Rhinolophus ferrumequinum: one gene and its partners. The protein of the gene in region 1 purifies or fractionates together with the protein of each later gene. This does not show direct contact. Links are inferred from orthologs where the notes say so. Each region holds a gene or a part of one and is shown on either strand. Other genes may lie near its edges. The genes, in order: MAPK7, PFDN4 and PFDN1.

Evidence for each region.
Region 2: the proteins of MAPK7 (region 1) and PFDN4 purify together in Homo sapiens (affinity purification with mass spectrometry; 3 studies listed by BioGRID and IntAct, with this or other methods). This does not show direct contact. The link is inferred for Rhinolophus ferrumequinum from reciprocal best matches to the Homo sapiens genes MAPK7 and PFDN4.
Region 3: the proteins of MAPK7 (region 1) and PFDN1 purify together in Homo sapiens (affinity purification with mass spectrometry; 3 studies listed by BioGRID and IntAct, with this or other methods). This does not show direct contact. The link is inferred for Rhinolophus ferrumequinum from reciprocal best matches to the Homo sapiens genes MAPK7 and PFDN1.

What each region holds. Positions count from the first base shown.
Region 1 is NC_046304.1:140,230-147,684, reverse strand, and holds the start of MAPK7 (mitogen-activated protein kinase 7), read left to right. Parts: upstream 1-4,350; 5' UTR 4,351-4,510; intron 4,511-4,798; 5' UTR 4,799-4,803; coding exon 4,804-5,035; intron 5,036-5,703; coding exon 5,704-5,869; intron 5,870-6,506; coding exon 6,507-7,455. UniProt on the Homo sapiens protein: Plays a role in various cellular processes such as proliferation, differentiation and cell survival. The upstream activator of MAPK7 is the MAPK kinase MAP2K5.
Region 2 is NC_046306.1:6,539,872-6,547,556, forward strand, and holds the start of PFDN4 (prefoldin subunit 4), read right to left. Parts: upstream 3,035-7,685; 5' UTR 2,802-3,034; coding exon 2,778-2,801; intron 1-2,777. UniProt on the Homo sapiens protein: Binds specifically to cytosolic chaperonin (c-CPN) and transfers target proteins to it. Binds to nascent polypeptide chain and promotes folding in an environment in which there are many competing pathways for nonnative proteins.
Region 3 is NC_046307.1:14,945,881-14,953,107, forward strand, and holds the start of PFDN1 (prefoldin subunit 1), read right to left. Parts: upstream 3,069-7,227; 5' UTR 2,954-3,068; coding exon 2,921-2,953; intron 482-2,920; coding exon 315-481; intron 1-314. UniProt on the Homo sapiens protein: Binds specifically to cytosolic chaperonin (c-CPN) and transfers target proteins to it. Binds to nascent polypeptide chain and promotes folding in an environment in which there are many competing pathways for nonnative proteins.

The DNA of each region.
Region 1 (7,455 bases):
GCCCGTTACTGCTGTGTGGGAATGGAAGGCTGATGGTGACAGATTTTTCCAATTTTCTGAAGGAAACCAGAAATCAGGACTTTTATGAGCTATCTCCCCATTTTTAACATAGGCAAATAATTCCACGCTTTTTAAAAAGGCTTGTGTGAATCATTCCCCCATTCTGCTGGTGGGGGTCTAAACTGGTACAATCTCTAAGGACAGAAATTTGACATTAACTATTAAAATTACAAGTTCAATATTCTTCAACTTGGCACTTCCACTTCTGGATATTTATCCTGCAAATATATTTGCAGTTTGCAAAACGATGTGTTCAAGATCATTTATTGCAGCATTGTTTGCAAGAGCAAAAATTCTGAACTAACCTAAATATCCACCTACACAGTGCTGGTTAGATTACATTCATAAATGGATACTATAAAATTACATTCATAAAGGGATAGCTGTAAAAAAGAATGTGGTGGTTTCTTAGATATGACATCGAAGGCACAAGTGACAAAAGATAAAGTGGAATTCATTACAATTAAGTAGTTCTAAATTTTAAAAACTTTGTGCTGCAAATGATACCATCAAGGAAGTGAAAAGGCAACCCACAGAATGGGAATAAATATTTGTAAATCATGTATTTGATGAGACTTACATCCAGAATATATGAAGAAGTCTTACAACTCAACAAAAAGACAAATAATGCAATTAAAAATGAACAAAGGATGTAAATCGACATTCCCCCAAAAGACAAATGGCCAATAAGCACATGAAAAGATGCTCAACATCACTAATCATTAGGAAAATGCCAATCAGAACCACAATGACCTACCACTGCACACCCACTAGGATAGCTATAATTTTTTTAAAAAGGGGGAGGGAATAACAATTGGTGGTGAGGATGTGGAAAAATTGAACCCTCAAATATTGCTAGTCAGGTTGTAAAATGGTGCAACCACTGGGAAGTTTGACAGTTCCTCAAAAAGTTAAATATAAAGTTTACCATATGACCCAGCGATCCCACTCTTAGGTACACCAAGAGAAACGAAAACATGTCCACACGAAAACTTGTACATAAATGCTCACAGCATCATTACTTGTAACAGCCAACAGGTGGAACACCCAAAGGTCCATCAACTGATGAGTGGATAAACAAAATGTGTATCCAAATCCATTTGGTATTAAAAAGAAATGATGTTCTGCTACATGCTACAAGGATAAACATTGAAAATACGCTAAGTGAAAGAACTGACACAAAAGGTCACATATTGTAGGATTCCATTTCTATGGAATGTCCAAAATAGGTAAATCCACAGACAGAAGTATGTCAGTGGTTTCTGGGGGCTGGGTGAGGGGAAATGAGGAGTGATTACAAACGGGTGTCTTTTTTGGGGTGATGAAAAGGTCCTAAAATTAGGTAGTGGTGATGGTTGCACAACTCTGTCAACATAACAGAAAAACACTGAATTACACACTATAAAAGTTTTAGGGGCCAGCCTGGAGGCTCAGGTGGTTGGAGTGTCATACTCCTCCTAAAGCGGAAGTCGCCAGTTCGATTCCCCCACAGGCCAGTGAGCTGCGCCCTCTACAGCTAAGATTGTGAACAACAGCTCTCCCTGGAGCTGGGCTGCCCTGAGCAGCTGGAGGTTGGTGTGAGCTGCTGTGAGCTGCCAGGGGCTGCTGAGTGCTACCACCGGCTGCTGTGCAGTTTCAGGCTACTGTGTGCCGCCATGAACGGCCGGTGGCCAGCGTGTGGCTGGCAGCCAGCGTGAGCGGCCGGCAGCCGGCAAGAGCCACCGTGAGCTGCTGTGAGCAGCCACCAACAACCGGCGACCGACCAACCGCCTCAGCCAGCGGGCACACAAGGCTCATAATACCAGCAGGGGCCAGGGAGCTGTGTCCTACACAACTAGACTGAGAAACAATGGCTTGAACCGGAGTGGGGGGGGGGCAGGCGGAAGAAGGGGAGAAAAAAAAACTTTTAGAGTATGAATTATATGTCAAAATAGCTTACTAAAAAAAAAAAAAAAAGAGGGACCTCTCTGGTTATTGATACTTCTGGTAAGACATTATAAAAGTGGCCACCTGGGAGTGGGACCAAGATTTTTCATTTAAACCTTTTGAATCAGGTGAAACAATTTTTTCTTGAAGAAGCGGTCAGTTGTGTCATATGCAACAGAGCACAGTAAGGCAAGGACGGAAGAGTGTCTGTTGTATTTAATACAGTTAGATAATTGATGACTTTTCCAGGACAGAATAAAGACCTAGTGGGGGAAGAGCAAAGCAGCTCATGGTGGATTGAAAATTAAGAGAATTAGCAAGCTTTTGCCGGAGAACGTTGCAGTCTGTAATGTGGATATCCAGCCTGGCTGAAATATTCATAGAGAATTTAAAGAATACAGTTTCTGAGTTTCTTCTGATACTTTGTTTTATTCCTGGACCAGACAGGACCACCACACAGCTTGTTCAGTTGGTCCCCTAAAAAGATGTGCTTATGTGTCCCGCTTTTGTATGCCCTCTATTTACACTGGGGGACACCGAAGGCCTTATAGTGCATGTATTTCAGAGTTAGGGAAAACTGTCTTTCACCTAACGGCCATCAGACCTCACTGATAGAAAATGTTCTCTTCCCACGAATACGGTTTCTTTATTCATGTTTAATGCAAATCATGTAACAGGTAATTTGGCTTTTTTATTATGCTCTCAGGAAAATCAGGAACAAATATTATAGTTCAACCTTAACTCAGGAGGCACATATGGTTTGTATGTGTCTAAATATGAGATATCTATTTGTCCCAATATTGACCTAATACTCTTAAACATATTTTTCCTTATGCTGAGTTTTTAAAAATGCAGTATCACAACATATGGATCCCGACTAATCTCTTAAAATCAGTGCAGAAAAAAAAAGTGTGGAAGAGAGTTAATAGAAAGAACTATCACCACTGGAAAAGAGAAGGTTCTTCGGAAGTGCTGGTAATGTTTTTCATCTGAATCCAATACCCTGGTGTACTAAGTTTGTGAAAATTAGTGGAGCTTTATGCATGCTTTAGTGAAAAGTAAAAAAAATCAAAAACACAACAGTGGGGAATATACACAGAACAAAAATTTTCAGAAGTGTGTAGGCTTACCAAAATTCATGTCTGGTCTGGATCCACTTTTCGGCTACTAGTTTGCGACGTAAGGAATAAACCCACAACGTGGCACTCAAAGACTTTATTGGGTCCCACCAACCGGTCCTTATTTAGGGCAACGGAACAACCCCCAGAGTCTGCACTGCTGTACTTCTCGACCTCTGTACCTTCAGCCTGTCTCCCCATGCTGTCTTCTTTTCTCACCTGGTGAAAACTCAGCCAGCCATCTTTGGAGTCGCAACTCCAAAACCTTCTACGTCGAATTCCTAAAGGTTGAAAACCTTTTCTCCCAGCCCCCACTAACCACCACGCGCACCTCTGCCTCCTCAGCACTGAACCTTAGAGACTTGGTGCCCGACACATATTTGCTATATGAACGAACGGGCCATCGGGCCCTGGAGCGGGTCGGGGCAGCCGAGGCCCAGTGCTGGCTCTGCCCTCTGGGCTGAGCTGACGGGAGGCGTAGAGGCTGCACGGCCCCGCCCGCCAGCCCAACTCCGCTGTAGCACAGAGAGCCCTCGCGGTCTTGGAACAGAGCCACCAAAACAGGGAACACGCCGGAGGCCAAGGAACAACCGGCGGAGGCTCAGCGATGCCGGAAGCTGGGCAGAGAGGACGAGCCATCGCCAGGCAGTAGCGGCTTCAGGCTTGACGCTCTAGAATCCGGGAGGACCGGGAACTCTGTGGTTGGACCGGACGGATCACCCTCTTCTGGGATGATGCCTTCCCGGAGCCGGGCTCCCGGAACCGATCGGGAAAATGGCGGGCACAATCTCCCAGGGACAGGGACTGAAAAGGGAAGAGGGCCCTGAAGTGGGGGGATTTCGCGAGCCGGCCGCCAAGCTAAAAGTCCCGGGTGTGCTAGCCCCTCGGAGCTGCCAGGACCAGCGGCGATTTGCGGGAGGAGACGCCGCGGATACATGGAGATGCGCGCGAGCACGCGCGGGGGCGTTGCCTTCCTGCAGGCGGCGCCCGGGGCGGCCAGCGCGCATGCGTCGGAAGACGGCGCGGGGTACCGACTGCACCCCTGAGAAGCGCGGAGCGCACTTTGGGCGGCTCCCGCGGGCGAACTGGGCAGTGGCGCGCGCGGGCGCGCGCAGGACACAGGCGTGGCTTCCTCTGCAGGTGGGCTCGGATTGGACGACGCGAGCACAAGGGGTGGAGAAGCACCTCAGAGACCGCCCAGCGATTGGCCGGAGGCTGAAGGGAGCGTGGTCTTGGGAGGCGGGGCAGGGGGGACCAGCGGGGCTGAGCTCTATGCTGAGGTGGAGGCGGCGGCCTTAAACACGTGAGCGAGTGACTCTGGCGTCCCCCTCCCCTGGGGACGGCAGGCCAGGGGCCCCGGAGACCCTCGAAAGCCCCGACGAGACGTCGGGGTGAGGCGCGATTCGGTGAGTGTGGACCGAGGAAAGCGAAGTGCCCCGCCCCCTCCCTTTCTTCCTGAACCCGCCTCGCTGCACCTCCCCCACCTCCGACCCTGCGTTGCACCGGGACCTGAGCTTTGGGCTCCGATTGCCTGGTGTGGCACATATACTACATGCCAGCCGCCGTCTTTTGCCCCCTACCTGGTCCCCATCGGCTTAGGGAACTTGGAATTACGTGGTCCTGCTCCAGCCTCACAAAGGGGAAACTGAGGCCTGGGGCGGGGCGGGCCCCCGCTCACCAGCGTTTCCACACAGACGCCATGGCCGAGCCCCTGAAGGAGGAGGACGGCGAGGACGGCTCCGGAGAGCCCCCGGGGCCGGTGAAGGCGGAGCCCGTCAGCACCGCTGCCTCTGTGGCGGCCAAGAACCTAGCCCTGCTCAAAGCCCGGTCCTTCGATGTGACCTTCGACGTGGGGGACGAGTATGAGATCATCGAGACCATAGGCAATGGGGCCTACGGGGTGGTGTCCTCCGCGCGTCGCCGCCTCACGGGTGAGCTTCCCTGTGGGCGCCGCTCACCGAGGTGGACACTGGTGCCCCGAGAGTGGGAGAGCCGCCCCCGCTCAAACAGCCCGGCAGGAGAGCCGGGCGCACGTTCTGGTTCGCGTCGGCAAGCGCTGCTTACGTGCCGTCGGGGTGCCCGGCACGGTGCTGGGCACGGCTCTCAGAACCTCGGGCACGGCGGTTTCGCCGGCACATCTGCCTACTTCCTCCTTAGAAAAATGTCCCTCCCAGTGAGACCGGGAGGAGATCTTATCTTTTGTTTCTAACAGAAGTGTGTTCTGGAGCCGCAGCCTAGTACAGGGGCTGGTGGTGGGGCGGGTAAGGTTTGAGATGCAGAGAGCGCGTAGGGAGGTAGGACGAGCACAGTCTACATTCTACCGACAAGCTGTGCAACCCCCAGTAGGTTACTGTGACGGGGTTTCCTCACCTGTAACGTGGAGCTATCAGTACCTGTCTCGGGACAGGTGTGAAGTGTGTGTAACGCGCTTAGCACAGGGGTTGGCACATAGGAGGTACTCAGGATATAGTAGCTGTTGTTACTCAGTGGGTGGTGGCCATGATTTGCATCCTAGACGGGAGATGGTGAAAGGGGCCTTGTGCCACCCTGCAGCTGCTGCAAGGCACCTCACGGTATCTGCCTTTTCTCTGCCCCTCAGGCCAGCAGGTGGCCATTAAGAAGATCCCCAATGCTTTCGATGTGGTGACCAATGCCAAGCGGACCCTCAGGGAGCTGAAGATCCTCAAACACTTCAAGCATGACAACATCATCGCCATCAAGGACATCCTGAGGCCCACCGTGCCCTATGGCGAGTTCAAATCCGTGTAAGAAATGGGAATGGGAGAGGGAGGCAGAGCTGGGAGTTTTCTGAAGGTTAGGACCACATTGCTCAAGTTCTGGAAGGACCGCTGAACCTAATGGAAGGCCCCCGGGGGAATTCCCGTAATTCCAGGACCAGTGCTCCCGTAGGGTTTTGCCAGGGACAGCTGGTTCTCAAGAAGAGTACAGATGTTACAATTTGATAGAACGTCAGTGTAGAGGATGGCAAACGCAGCACACACACTATAACTACAGCTGCCTGTTCTCGTAGCAGTCATCACTCATCAGTCACAGGACGCTTACCGACAGAGGGCAAACCGCCGCAGTGTTCAGCAGTCATTAAGTGGCCATTACCAAACAATGGAGACAGCCCCCAAAACTACAGCTATTTGCTAGTCCTGATTTGGTCCACCCTCATTTTTTCTCGGACGGGCAACTAGATCTGGAGAGAAAAGTGATGTAACTTCACTTAAGTTCATGGAAAAGTTGTAGAGAATCTAGACTCTTCATACCATACGGTTGGCCCTTCCAGAGTCTGAGGGTAAGGCCGCTCCCTGCCTGGAGCCAGGTGGGTGTGGTGAGCTTGGGGCTGGCGTGTGGACAAGACAAGACAGCCCATACGTCTCTCCCTGTCCCTTGTAGCTATGTGGTCCTGGACCTGATGGAGAGCGACCTGCATCAAATCATCCATTCCTCGCAGCCACTCACGCTGGAGCACGTCCGCTATTTCCTGTACCAGCTGCTGCGGGGCCTCAAGTACATGCACTCAGCTCAGGTCATCCACCGCGACCTCAAGCCCTCAAACCTGCTGGTGAATGAGAACTGTGAGCTCAAGATCGGTGATTTCGGCATGGCACGCGGCCTGTGCACCTCGCCTGCCGAGCACCAGTACTTCATGACCGAATATGTGGCCACGCGCTGGTACCGTGCCCCGGAGCTCATGCTCTCACTGCATGAGTACACGCAGGCTATTGATCTGTGGTCTGTGGGCTGCATTTTTGGTGAGATGCTGGCGAGGCGTCAGCTCTTCCCGGGCAAAAACTATGTGCACCAGCTGCAGTTGATCATGATGGTGTTGGGCACCCCCTCACCAGCTGTGATTCAAGCTGTGGGGGCTGAAAGGGTGCGGGCGTACATCCAGAGCCTGCCACCCCGCCAGCCTGTGCCCTGGGAGACAGTGTACCCAGGTGCTGACCGCCAGGCCCTCTCACTGCTGGGGCGCATGCTGCGTTTTGAGCCCAGTGCCCGCATCTCCGCGGCTGCCGCCCTTCGCCACCCCTTCTTGGCCAAGTACCATGACCCTGATGATGAGCCTGACTGTGCCCCGCCCTTTGACTTCGCCTTTGACCGGGAAGCCCTCACCCGGGAACGGATTAAGGAGGCCATTGTGGCCGAGATCGAGGACTTCCATGCACGGCGTGAAGGCATCCGCCAGCAGATACGTTTCCAGCCTTCCCTGCAGCCTGTGGCCAGTGAGCCTAGCTGCCCCGACATTGAAATGCCCAGTCCCTGGGCTCCCAGTGGGGACTGTGCCATGGAGTCACCTCCGCCAGCCCCACCGCCGTGCCCTGGCCCTGTACCTGACACCATT
Region 2 (7,685 bases), on another chromosome or scaffold:
ATTCATTTAATAATTATTTAATGTTTCCCGTGTGTCAGACACTGTGAAAACAGCTGTAGTCCTACCCTCATGTACACCTGGCAAGCTTAAATTCTGGTGGAGGAGACGGGCAAAAAACAAGGGTGTTTTTATTAGATGGGGATATACATGATGATGAAAGTAGAACAGAGGTTGAAAGTGTTGGGGAGCTGGAGAGTGAAGGGGACTTCTTTAGATAGGAAGGTCAAAGATGGCTTCTCTGAGGGACCCTGGGCAGAACTCAGACAACAGACCCCTCGTGGCCAACAACCAGTTCTGAGAAAGCAGAACCTTGGAGACAAGAGCACTGAATCATGTCCTCCAAACATTCTCACCAGAAAAGTCATGACCCGTTGGGAAGCAATGCGCTACAAATGTAGAGTACTCCAAATTGCAAACAATTTTTGTCCAATTAGAAGGGCTATTCCTGCGATATTTCACACTCACTCAGTGGCATGCCCATGTTTTCTCCTAGAGAGGGCAGAAGGGGAAAGTGCACATGTAGTTGGCGGATCAGAAATGGTTTATAGCACTGGGAACGTCTACACGACGCTGCCATCTACATGCCAGTCTTACTAAGATGAAGAAGAAAATCCTTCATGTTTCAGCCACCACCTACCCCTCTAGGTTCTACCATCATGGTTCAATCTTTCCCCCCTCACCCCCCAATTCGCTGCCATGCTGGCCTTCCTTTTATTAAATGCACTCAAGGTCTGGGCAGGAGAAATTCCCTCTCTAGAATATCTAGAATACCTGCTCCCTTTCCCACTTTTTCTTCCCCTCCTTATGTAATCTGATAGATCACACCTTCTCTGATCACAACACAGACCTTATTCCACCTTCATTTCACAAGTATCTTTCTTTCGTAGTTCTGATCGGAGCTGGAAATTTTACAGTTTTCTGTATGACTATTCCATTACTGCCTGCCTCTCCCCCAGAGCATACGTTCTACTACGCTAGGAGGGTCAGGGAATAAGAACGTCATTACTGTTGATCATTACCTCCACCACGTAAAACTGCGACTGTACCATATGACACACTCAAAAAGCTTGCGGAATGACTGGAAGGAAAAAATGTTGGTAATTCAGCAATTTTGCAAAGTCCAGGGTTCAAATCCTTTTTTATCATTTCCTCAACTCCTTTGCTTCATCTCTCTGCACTTTAGTTTCCACATCTGTCAAATGGGGCCAAACCACAATATCTGCCATGGCATTAAGGGCCGTACCTAACAACACAGGGCCCAATTTAAATACAAAATAGAGGTGAAGTGAATCTCACAAAGTGCCATACTTGTCTGAATCACCGTGGCCCTAGACCCCCACACTCGTACTCTGTAAGAACTGAATGAATGACAGACCAACAGAGAGAGCAGCTCATCCTGGTTTGCCTGGGGCTTTCCCAGTTTGAGTGCTCCTTCAGTCTCAGACAGACAGGGATGGTTGGTCACCCTACACCAGGCGCAGGTGGCACAGGTGGTGCAGGTGGCTCCGACTATGCAGTGCTGCAGAGGAGAGCAAAGAAAGCAAGTTCAAGTGGCCCTTGAAGTGGAATGAGAGCAAACCTGCACAATACCTCGAAAGCAAATCCCTTCAGCCAGGGGACTCTCTTCAGACACCATGCAGTCAAAACACAGGCTTTGGAGACTCAACGCCTGTGTTTACTTAAATCCTAGCTTTGTCTCTGCTTCGGCTTGCATCAGATGTAAAATAAAGATAAAATCAACTCCTTAAAGGGCTCCTTAAAAGGGCCATAAGATTAAAATATATAACGTGTGCAACACTCTTAGAACTGTGCCTAGCACACAGTAAAGCCTTGATAATGATCAGATGTTATTATTTCCTTGCTCTCTCCACATTTTCTTTTTCTTCTATCTAGATATCTTTAAGCATCTGGGTACACTTATCGGATTAGAAACCCTAAACAGGCGTTTAGCTTGCTTAGCAGGATAAAAGGTGTGCTTGGGGGGGTAGGAGGAACACCTGAGTTTGAATTCTAGCTCTGATTCTTATTAGCTGAGTCACTTTCAGGTCACTAGCCGCTCTGTGTCTAAGTTTCTCCATCTGTAAAGTGGGGAGAAACCCTTATCCTTGCGAAGTTGCTGGGAGGATCAGAGATAATCAACGCACGGCTTCTGGACCCTGACCCATCGTCTATCCTTTGGCCTGGAGGACGCAGGGCCATCAAGTGTGGATGTGGGAGACTCAGGGCTGGGCACTGGGGCTCTGCGGCCAGATAATTCAAGGATGGAGGGTCCTGCTCTACTCCTTACAGCTGCGTAACCTTGGGAAGGTGACTCCACCTCTCTGGGCCTCAGCTTCCTTACCTGCAAAGGACGCTACCAATACTGCCTAACCTTGTGGACCTGTGAGGGTTAAATATGATAACTCAGGTAAAGCGCCCAGCCTTACGGTCAGATGCAGTCAATGGGACCTTCGCTTCCCACGCTGCAATGACAAGGCCTGGGCCGCGGGACCCTCAGACTCTCCAGGGCCATCCTCAGCCCGGCGAGAGGCATCCCGGAGCCCTCCAAGGGTCCCAGTCCGTGCGCCCCGCCTTGGTGGGCCGGGGGCCTAAGACGCCGCCCAGGGCGCCGGGCGTGGACAGGCCTCACTGCGGGGCCGTCCTCAGGGCCGGGGACCGGGACCCCGGGCCCCACGCCGGGCTTCAGAGATCAGCACCCCAGCATCCCTCTCCCGGCCCCTCGGCGGCCGGTCGCCTCCCGCAGCCCGAGCATCCCGCACCGCGAGCGCTCCACTCACCGCCTTCTTCATGGTGGCCGCCATCTTGGGACTGGACTACCGCGCGAGGCGGGGAGGGCCGCAACGGCGCGCTTCTCCTCCCTACCCTCTCTCACTCCCTGTTGGCCCAGAACTCCCGTAAAATACAACACCGTCTCCACATTCCCTCGTGTTGGATCTTCGACGAAGGAGCTCTAACGTCTAGGACTCATGGAGGAAATGCAACCTGGAAGGATTTGGTACATGCCAATTAAAGGGACAGGCAACTCCCCGTGGGTCGACACAAACTGGGGGGTGTGGCGAACGGCCGCGGATCCAGCAGCGGGCAGCAGGGGGCGCCCAGAGCGGCGGGGCAGGGCCTCGGTTGGAGCCGAGCCGGGGGCGGGGCCGGGCCTTGAGGAGATGAAAGGGAAATCTTTTTCATCAATCCCGCACAGGAATGAGGAGAAATCTACCTACCTAAAAAAGTGCTAAGAACTAATGACCTTGGCAATAGGATGTGCAGTTAATATGCCCTGATAATTCAGATGGTATTAAGGGAGAAGTACTCCTACTTATTTATTCAACATTATTGAGCGATTACTGTCTGCTCTGACATTTGTGCCTCCCAATTCTTTCTTTCTTTCTTTCTTTTTAACCAGCAAAAGAAAGAAGGCTGGGGTACAAATGGAAACAATTGGAGACTGCTGATCAGGAGGAAAATCACCAGGAACCACTTGAAAGTACTATCCCCGCTGAGGGGAGGGGAACGGGACGGGGGATGAGCAGATTCCCTTACATCAGGTTGAAACCCAGCCACCTACTGACTGGATCCAAGCCATGTTTTTGTTTTGTTTTTTGTTCTATTTTTGTTTTTTGTTTTGTTTTGACCCACACAGTATTTTTACTTGAACAAACATATGAAAATTAGGAGATTTCACTCCACAATATCCGATTTTTTGTTTTGCTTGTGCTTGTAAAATCAGAATCCTGGTGACTTTGATCCTACATTTTTGCACAACAGCAGCTGTTGTTGCTGATTAGTCATGGCCCATTTAGCTAACAGACCCTCTCCAGGGCCCGGCAGATGCCCACCTGCCTCATGGTGTGCTTACCTGTCGTGTCCAGGTGTATGAACTTGTCACCCCAGACTTCTGTTCTAAGGCATTGAAATGAGGGCGTTCATGGTGCAATTGTTTGAAATCTGTACCATGCTAGATGCTATTGTGAAAAGAAGGATGAATTAGATGGGTGCTTGGCATCAAAGAGCTTATGGTTGGCACACATGTATCGCCCCCAATCATAGCACCTGAAGCTGCAGCCCTGGGACAACTGCTGAGGGGTCCCCAGGAGGCTCATGTCTGGCTGGAGTAGCTAGTGAAGACTCTGGATTGGTGGCATGTTAACTCGATCAAGAAGGGCAGTGGGACTACAGTACAAGTAGAATAGGCAAAATTCCCTGTCCTCGTGCAGCTTACAGTCTAGTGATGACAGATCATAGTCAAAACACAGAAGTAAATTCTTCAGTATTAGAAGGTGGTATTATCAATATGTGTTATTAATAGTTATAACAAGAACACATACAGTAATAATAAAAGACTGTAACTACCAGCATGAAAACTCTATGAAAAAGATACAACTCTATGAGTAAAATGCTAAGTATGTTGACTGGAAAATTGAGGGGAACAAAAGCCCTATTTGAACTGACATGTAAGCTACAAAATTGTCCAGACATGTCCCAGCTTAATTTAGATTCTGTCACAAAGCAATAGTGAGCTCACCACATTATTTCATAGCAGTGTGTGCATGAGTTCCCTCCAAAACCTGCAACATCTGCACCAGATGTTCTAAGCCTTGAAAGGAAAGTCTTTTGTTTTTTTAAATTAAATTTATTGGGGTGATGATGGTTAGTAAAATTACATAGATTTCAAGAGTACATTTCTATAATACATACCTGTATATCACATTGTGTGCTCACACCCAGAGTCCGTTCTCCTGAATGGGAAATCTTGGTAGGATTACCCTTCCACTTTGGCCAGGAGGAATCTAGGGACAAGGAGGGGCCCACCCCATCACTACGTGGTCATTTGCTCAGTGCCTGCAGGGGGCGCCCAAGGACCTTGGTAGTGTTCCACAGACCCCAGCCTTTCAAGTCCACCTGGATATATTGCTAAAATATCAACAGAACGATTCTTTTCTTAACTTAAAAACAGATCTATTTTAAAACATAGAATAAGTACATTTTCAAAGGACATTTAAAATCTCTGGTTTAAAGGGAAAACCAGTTTCGCTTGCTACAGAAGCAGATTTTAAGGGGTTTAAATAGATCTCTTCCTCCCGGAGAAAACTGTTTCAGCTGAGGTTTGTTCAAAAGGCGGAAAGTAACAGGCCGTGGAATGGGGAGAAGGGCCAGGTACTGCCCCTTGCGGTCCCCCTTACATGTGCCTGGCTCTAGGTGCCTGTGTGCTTGACCCTAATCCCTGTCCCAGAGGGAGGGAATAAAGTGGAGGGAACCTTTAATATCAAATAAAGGTAGGAGATCATGGTGTACTTAAAGAAAGGGAAGAAAGGGGATGAAAAGGAAAGAGAAGAAGGGCAAGAGATGAAGCTGTGGAGAAGATAACCCTCCTCCGCTGCCTCCCACCGTGGAGGGGGTAGGGAGTGGGGGAGGGGAGGAGTGGAGAGCGGATTCCAAGGCCTGCAGGGGCCAGGTAGAAAATATAAGTGAGTGATGGACGTTATAAATGAGGGAGGGACTGTGCGCCATCCGACTGACCGTATCCAGTTTGTGCAGCTCATCTCCAGCAGCTCCTCACCTCCCGCCAATTGTTGCCATGAGGGAATGGGGACCCAGGGCCACTAGAAGTTCCCCTTTCTTCCTAGAAGCCAGTAACCCGGATTTTTTTTTTTTTTTTAATGTGAAGTCTTGTGATGTTGAAACCACTGAAATTGATTTTAAAATAAATTCTAAATCTATTGTGTATACCAACTAGATGGACCGCTCAATCTGTGACCTGTGATAAACCTCCCAGGTGCACATCTTCTGGAATGTTCTTATGACCAAGTTTTTCATTCTTAAATGAAATGGTGGGGGGAATCCCCTAGGTTTTCTGAAGTAAATCTATGCAAATCAGGAACTCTCACTGAAAAATTTCCTCTCCAGACTGTCTGATTACTCTCCCACATTCACCTCCTTCCTGCTCTAGTTCCATGATCACCAGAAGTGCCTCTGTGCCCCTTCATGACTCACGATTTAATCTGTCCTTTAAATAAAGCCTTCCTTGGTTATTGTTAACCTCTTTCATCTTTAAAGTCTGCACTTACTACACAGTTGGTATTTTTCTAAGCTACCATTGCACAAGCCTTACCTTCTCTCTCGTAGTTCTTTTGAATCTTCTTATTGTGCTGGGTAATAGAAAATAGTGTCAGTTTGTATTTGGCTCAACAGTTTTGTAGATGGTTTTATCATGGCCCTATCTGAAATTCTTCGTTGTCTTCCCACGCATTGCACAAAGGCATCATTTAGATTCCTGGCCGAGGTGCAGCCTCCCTCTCTGACCTTATTCCACTCCATCCCTCCCCCTCACGGTGCTCTAGCGCCGTGGGCCTCCACTCTGTGAATGTTGCCTGCTGCCTTCTGCCTCAGGGCCTTTGCACTTGAGCCGCTTGCTGTCCTTGACGCCCCTTTCTCCTGTTTGTTCACCTGGCTAACTTCTACTCCTGACACTCAGCCATCAAGAAAGCTTTCCTTAAACACATCCACCACCCAGAAAGAGTAGCACCCCCTTTTCAACACCCTTAAAGCCCTTCATAGCACCTTTCCTTTTCCCACCAAGGGAAACACACCTGTTTCATCATCTCTGTAATCACGGCACTAACGTGGAGGTAGATGCTTCACAAATATTAGCTAATGAATAAATAAATGCATGAATGAGTGACTATGTATTTAGGGATGAATGCAGTAATATATCATACAATATAGCTGTGGGTGAATTCATTCAGTAACAATGTGCAAGAGTCCATAGCGCGTTTCCATTCACTTATTTTTCTTCGCTAGATCGAGTACTACTGTGCGTCTCACAAAAATTCTGATCTTGTCTCACAAAACTGATTTTGTGGACTCATTGGCAGAGCAGCCCTTCCTTTCTTCACCAGGTGGCGCTGTGACTCCAGAATCTGACATTTTACTGTTCTCGGGAACTGTCCACGTTCTCTTCTACACTCTGCAAAGCAAGATGGCACAAAATCAAGGAAATCATCATCTTCTGCTTGTTTGAATTCTTGCCTTAATTTTTACCTGGTAAAAGGCAAAGCATTTTCCGGAGCCCTCAAATGTACGCACTGATTTTAAGCCTTTATAAAGTAGACCATTAACTAACCTGTTTACTGCAAGGTACGTGCTTATAGCAATTTCAATGCTGAGAATGAGTCAGAACTTGTTATATGGAGCAATCGAAGCATATCTTCAAATTCAAATATAAATTTCCTCGTGTGATTCATTCAACAAGGATTTCTTCAGAACTTCGTGTGTACCTAGCACTGAGCCAGGCAGCTTCTTTCCCACAGATGCCTCTGCTCATAAAAGGACCTGTTTGGCAGTGAAGTGGGTATCTTATATATATTTGTGATCCCCTAATGTCTGTTGAATACTTTTATGTACATTTGGGGACATTTCCAGGTCATGAGTGTTACCATTCCTTTCTAGAAGCCAGAACTCAATTTCCTGGCATCCTTTAAGCTCGGATGCAGGCCACAGGATCCAGGCCCAGCGAATCAGATTCACCAGTAGGAGACCTGATCTGAGAGAGCAAGAATGGGAGGTGCCAGGTGCCGGGGGAATCCATTGCCGTGATGAGGGCAGCCTGGCAGACAAAGCTTGAGTCCCTGAAACAGCAAGAAAGTCAGTGCTAGTGGGATGCCCTGGCCTGGGTGATTCGGGCCCAGAGGTGC
Region 3 (7,227 bases), on another chromosome or scaffold:
TCCATACACAAAATTACTATAAACATCTTTTCATGAAAAATCTTTTTTTTTTTTTTAATCACTGAAGTTACACACTTTTAAGAACCTAGTAGTAGAGAGAACACGGAAATATTTAAGAAATGTACTTCAAAGTCTAAAATTAAACACATCTATTTGGGATTCGATTTCTCATTTTTTAAAAAAGAAGGTATTTGACTAGATGATCTTTAAAGCTACAGTGATACTTTAACCTGTTTTAAAACAAACAAATTCTATGATTTAATTCAGACAAAACCTCTCCCAAGATAACTCCCATAAGGATATATTTTACTTACATTCTTCCTACACCTTCATACATGTTAGTCTCGTCTACCAAAGTCATAATCTCTGTATCTGTAAGATGTGCATGCTTTTTCGTTCTGTTTAGCTGTTCAATCTGTATATCTGCAAGCTTCACCTTCTGTTGAGTGTCAATAACTTTAGCTTGAAGCTCTGTGAAGGCCTAATAAAAACAAGTCCTTGATTTAGTAGGTGAAACACTTAATAAGAAACATTTAAGTTAAATCCAAATGTATTAAAATTAAGCATGCTAACCAGAGACAAAGCTATGAAATTTACCAAAGCAAACATCAATAAAAGTCAGTATAATTATAATCGATCAAGCCACTAGGCTACATACTGAAATTACCCTGTCAGAAGATGGAATCTATTTGAAGCAGAAACAAATGCACATTAAGTAATAACCATGTCAAGTAGCAGGGACCCAAGGAGTAATAAAAGCAATGAATGCAATAAACAGAGGATGAAACCCAGAAATCCAAAACAAGAACCATAAATGTAACAACTCTCTACATTTGTGTTATTCAACCAGGTTTCAAAGCACTTTCCCACGTTTCAAATATTAATAGAAATATTAACATGAGAACACTGAAGGATATAATAATATCGCATTTATTCCTCTCAATAATCCTATGAGTTAGAAATGGCTATTTCATCATTACAGTTTACAAATTAAGTAACCAAATGTGTTAAAGAGCTGTAAGTGGCTTGCACAGGGTTGACCGACTATCAGGTGGAAAGGCAGGTACTAAATTTCTTGTGACCCCTAGTTCAGGAATCTACCCATTCTACTGTCTACAGTAATATAAAGAACATAAATAATAGAGATATTTTAAAGAAAAAGACAAAAAAGGAAAACATTTCAAAGCATTGGTAGAATTGGATCATGATCTTCATATACACATACCAGGCCAAATTTGAACCTTGTGTACACTGTTCAACCTTGTGTACGCGTAACTGAAAGATAAACACAGTTCTTGGATACTCTTGTTGAAGTGCCTGAAATTTAACAGTGCATGCTGTTAAATTTATGCCTTAATAATAACATTTGTGACTGCAATACATGGCAAAAGGTACTACTTAACTTTTATTCTGACTTTGTTCTCACCTACTGGTAAGGTTTCCAAAGATTTATTTTGTATGAAGGGAGGTGCCTGAAAATTTCCTACTAGTCTCCAGCCAAAATAAAACCTTATCGAGATATTAGAAGATAAAATCTTTAAACGAGTTTCTTCAGTTAATTGGTTGTAAAACTATCCAACTTAAATGTGTAATCATTTTCTTAGTTTTCATTCATTGCCCACAGGTGTCTTAGCAACAAATTCAAATAATACTGGGAAGTTAAGTCCATTCATAGCTCTATGTTAGCTCTTTCAATAAATCCAGGCTTAAATTTGAACTTTTAACAGGAGAAAAAAGTAAATTTTTACACTGCGTTAAGCATTCTTAAAATGAACTTTGTTCTGCATGTAAAATTACCTGATTGTTCTGTACACAGTTTGCTAAGGGAGCTGAAATATTGTTAAAGCTGAGATACTTGAGCATTAGAGAACACCACGTAAGGGCAAAATTTACAAGTTTCAAAACAAGAATGACAAAAAGCAAGACATACACATAAATCCTCACAGCAATAACAAAGAGCTTCATGTAGTACGATCGACAGCTATTTCAGCTGTCCTATTTCTCATGCAAAGGTTGACCAAAAGGGAATCTGAAGTAAAATTTGCTCTTATGAAGAACCTAAGTAGTCAAAAGGTGTGGAGCAGACAATACTGGATTCTAGTCCCAACCTTTGATTCAATTTTTTTCTGGAACTCAGTTTCCTTTTCTGGAAAAGTATAGTTTAAACTAGATGCAGCCTAGGATCCTTTCCAATACCGGTCCCCCTCCCCACCCCAAAAAACTGTTGGGGTCCGTAATGATGTTAGAATCCTGACAACTCTTAGATGATGAAAACGTTTCTGAATAATAACACATTTATAAGCAATTGTTTGAATAGAGAAACCCAATTCCTTCTGATTATCAATTTTATTTGTAAAACTTGGCAGGACTTGTTTCTTTTTCGACAAGTCCTTCAAAAAAGGTAAAAGGTGGGGAGCCAGAGCCCTGAGATGCACAATGCTATGAGCATGTCTGACTCTGGACTGTACTGCGACCTTTCAAGATATGGGATCGAATAAATGGCCTAAAAGCACTGGCTGGATTTGGAATTTTTCAAAGCTAATGAGGATGCACCATTACAGATGCCTAGGCTCAGGCGAACCGTCCTAAGGGGCTCCAATTTGAAACGCTTATTTCAGGCCTCAATACGAAACTGAAGGCCCAAGCGCAACGTAACGGCTCTGCAGCTCGGAAGAGAACAGGCCAGCTATTGGCGCACCAGACAATCAAAGACAGCTCAACGGGCTGTTACCCACCAAGAGCCGCTCGCCCCCTACTCCAACTTAAGAAGACCCGATCCCGCCTTGGGACTTCAGGAAATCATTCCCCAGTTCCCTGGGGCCTCTTTCCGTCTTCAAGACTCGAGCCTCCTCGATATTCTTATCCACAGTCCCCTTAGCTACTAAAGAGAAGCCTCGGCCTGCTCAAGACGCTCTCTTACCTTCTTTAACTCCAAATCCACGGGCGCCGCCATCTTGGCTCACTCTCTGCGCCTGCGCGATGGAAGAAGGCCCGAAAAAGTGAGGAGGAAGGGCGCGCTTTGGCTGTTTAATTGTCCCCCTTTCTTCTGCGCCTGCGCATAAATCGGGCTTGCCGGGCTTCTTCCCTTCACGCGGGCTAGTGGCGCTTGAAATGAATATTCTGGATTCGATTCAGCCTGTGTTCCCCACGTGATCTATCAGGTTTGGGCTGCTTCTCCACGTCCTTCCAGCCACAACATCAACATGCAGATTTCGTGTATGGTTTTAAGCATTTTGACAAATAGCTCAGTTTTTGCTGCTAAATTGAGACGTATGAATATCAGACCAAAACCTCTTCAGTCATTCAGTCCTTCAGCTAGTCCCTGTGCTGTCAGGAATGAGAATCAGCCTGCACCTCAGGCATGCCAGTGTGGAGAAAAACAAGATTATTGGAGTGGTCTTCCAAAGAACTTATTTCTAAGGAATGCTCTTGGAGGACATTTTTGACATAGTGGTTCCCAAGAGAAGCCAAAAAAGTATGTTTAAAAACAAACAAACAAAAAAACACAGATTGTCTGGTCCTCGTCCCAAACTTAATTACTTAGAATTTTTGAGATTGGGGCCCAGAAATTTGCACTTTTGCAAACAATCCTTATGACCTGATGCAACGTCATCTGCAGACCAAATTTTGAGAATTTGCTGTAAAAGATCTAGCATTTGAACCAGAATATTGGATAGAAATTGGACTTTAGGACATGGCAGAAATGGATGTTTTATCTACTCTAAAAACTTGTGAGGGGGGCCGGCCTGGTGGCTCAGGCGGTTAGAGCTCCATGCTCTTAACGCCGAAGGCTGCCGGTTCGATTCCCACATGGGCCAGTGGGCTCTCAACCACAAGGTTGTCGGTTCGACTCCTTGACTCCCACAAGAGATGGTGGGCTGCACCCCTTGCAACTAGCAATGGCAACTGGACCTGGAGCTGAGCTGCGCCCTCCACAACTCAGATTGAAAGGACAACAACTTGACTTGGAAAAAGTCCTGGAAGTACACACTGTTCCCCAATAAAGTCCTGTTCCCCTTAAAAAAAAAAAAAAAAGAAAACTTTAAAAAAAAAAAAAAAAAAAAAAAAAAAAAACTTGTGAGGGAAGGGAAAGGGAAGGAATTTGGAACCGGCCAGACCTGGATTAAAGGTTTGGTTTACCTTGAGCCTAGGTCTGTTTGGTTCCATTTACTAGCTATGTAGCAATAGAGTTTGTCTCCTCTTTTAATTTGAGAATAACAATATTGACCTAATAGGATTATTGTGAGGAATACATAAGATCAGGATGAAACACTCCAAACATAGCACCACACACACAGTAGGTACTCAATGAATAGTTGTTAGTTGAGGTAGTTAACATTGTCATGTTTGTCTTTCAATGTCCAGCAAACAGGTCACCTCCTCCATTATGTCTTTTTTTTATTTTTTACATCACTCAACAACCAAAAATAATATCTCCTTTAAACTCTCCTCAAGACCACATCTGTTCTTCTCTTAAGGCACATGAAACTTTCTACCTTCAATTTTTTTTCCTTATTAGACTGTAAGCTCCTTGAAATCAAGAACGATAGAATAATTGTTCTCCCAGCACTTATACCCAGAACACCTATCACAGTGCCTCATAGGGAAGAAATACAAAATAAACACTTGATGAGAATGAATTCTTCAGAAGAAAATTTGTCATCACTTTCTAATTTGAGAAAGAAAAGGGGGGCCTAATTTTACTCTGGGGCCTTCTTAGAACTTCACTATAGATAATCAATAAATAATGACCCAAAAATTAAAATTCATAGAAAGTCTCAGATACTTTACTGTACATTACCTCATGAGATTTTGAAACACTCCTCATAGCAATTCATGTGTAATGTAAAAAGTTAAGAGCATGGGCTAAGGTATCAGACAACCTAGGTTCAAGTACTGTCTGTATTATTTAATAAGAATGTGACCCTAGGCAAAAGTCTCCTCTCAAATTTTTTGGTCATTGTTCCTTTTTGCATACCACTCCTTCCTCTTGAGTTTAATTTCCTTCTTGATAAAGTAAATCTTCAGTATATTCTTTCAGGATGAGTATTTGAGAAGTAAACTCTGTTAGTCTTTGTGTTAAGGGTTGAATTGTATCCCCCAAAAAAAGATGTGTTGAAGTCCTATATCCAGTACCTCCAAATGTCATCTATTCAGAAATCCAGTCTTTACACAGGTAATGTTAAAATGAAGTCTTTAGGGTGGGCCCTAATCCAATATGTCTTAGTCTTTCAGGCTGCTATAATCACCACAGAGTGGATGGCTTATAAACAACAAACATGTATTTCTCACAGTTCTGGAACTGGAAATCTGAGATCAGGGTACCAGTACGGTTAGGTGAGGGTCCTCTTCAGGGTTGCAAACTGCAGACCTCTCACTATGTCCTCACTTGGTGGAAAGGGTGAGGGAATCTCTGTGGGGGTCTCTTATAAGATCCAGTAAAGCCACTTTTGGGTATACACCCAAAAGAATTAAAACAGGGACTTGAATAGATATTTATATATCCATGTTCAGAGCAGCATATTCACAATATGCAAAATGTGGAAATAATTGGAAGCAAACACATGTTATAACCCAGGTTAACCTTGAGGACATTTTGCTAAGTGAAATAAGCCAGTCACAAGAAGACAAATATTTTATAATTCCACTTATATGAAGGATTTAGAGTAGTCAAAATCATAAAGGCAGAAAGTAGAATGGTGGGTGCCAGGAGCTAGGGAGAAGAGGGGGAATGGGGAGTTATTGTTTAATAGGTATAGAGTTTCAGTTTCACAAGATGAAAGACTTTTAGAGATGGGTGGCGGTAATGGTAGCACAACATTATGAATGCATTTCATACCCCTGAACTGTACACTTAAAAATGGTGAAGAAGGTAAATTTTATGTTATGTCTATATTACCACATTAAAAAATGGAAAAAATTTATTTGTACCTTTTTCAAATCTACCTGCTCTTTTCTTTTTTATGATATGTAATGATATATTCTTGCCTAATAGTGAACATAATTAGAACATAATGAACATAATTATTCTTAAATGTTTTTACAGTGTCTTATCATCTAGTGTGGATTCTTCCATTGGAGGCATTTGCTGGTCTTTCTTATGAAAGTTGATTTTCTCATATTACTAAGTTCATATTACTGAGTTCATATGACTAAGAACTCATCAAAAGTGTCTAGCATGTCCTGGGCTGTGGAAACATCCCTTCACATCCATTTCCACCAAAGCCCTGTGAGATTCACAGGTTCCAAACCAGTTTTTATGTTAATTCTTGACACCACATGAATGTACCAAATTTAGGGAAAAATAAAACTTTCCCTGAGCATAAAGTTGGCAGAATGTGATATACATTTACAGACTGGAAGCCACTGTAATATTTTTCCATATCTCCTTTTCATTTGGGTCTTCAAAATAAAATTATTTCCTTTCTCTCTGGAGCTTTTAAAACAGCAGAAAGGGGGCCGGCCCGGTGGCTCAGGCAGTTGGAGCTCCATGCTCCTAAATCTGAAGGCTGCCGGTTCAATTCCCACATGGGCCAGTGGGCTCTCAACCACAAGGTTGCCAGTTCAGTTCCTCGAGTCCCGCGAGGGATGGTGGGCTCCGTCCCCTGCAACTAGTAACGGCAACTGGACCTGGAGCTGAGCTGCGCCCTCCACAGCTAAGACTGAAAAGGACAACTTGAAGCTAAATGGCACCCTCCACAACCAAGACTGAAAGGACAACAACTTGAAGCTGAACGGCACCCTCCACAACTAAGATTGAAAGGACAACAACTTGACTTGGAAAACAGGCCTGGAAGTACACACTGTTCCCCAATAAAGTCCTGTTCCTCTTCCCCAATAAAAATCTAAAAAAAAAAAAAAAAAAAAAAAAAAAACCAGCAGAAAGAGACCTTCTATGAAAGCACTGAAGAGTTTGCAGTACTTCGACATTTGCTTAGAGAATAACCAGGATGTGCTGGTGTCTATCGTTTTCATAGTAAAAACAGACTTCCCACTGAAGGATTCACTAGCACAGGGATGTACTACTTCTGAGGTTCAATCAGTCCACAGTTGTGGAATTTAGAAAGGTGATCTATTATCCCTCAGTTCTGTTTCTCCATGCGCAATACACTTATTTAGTCATTTAACAAATATTTATTGAACATCCATTAGACATTGATCCAGGCCCTTGGGATGTAACAGTAACAGGCGACAAACTCTCTCACCTCATGGAGTACATATTCCAGT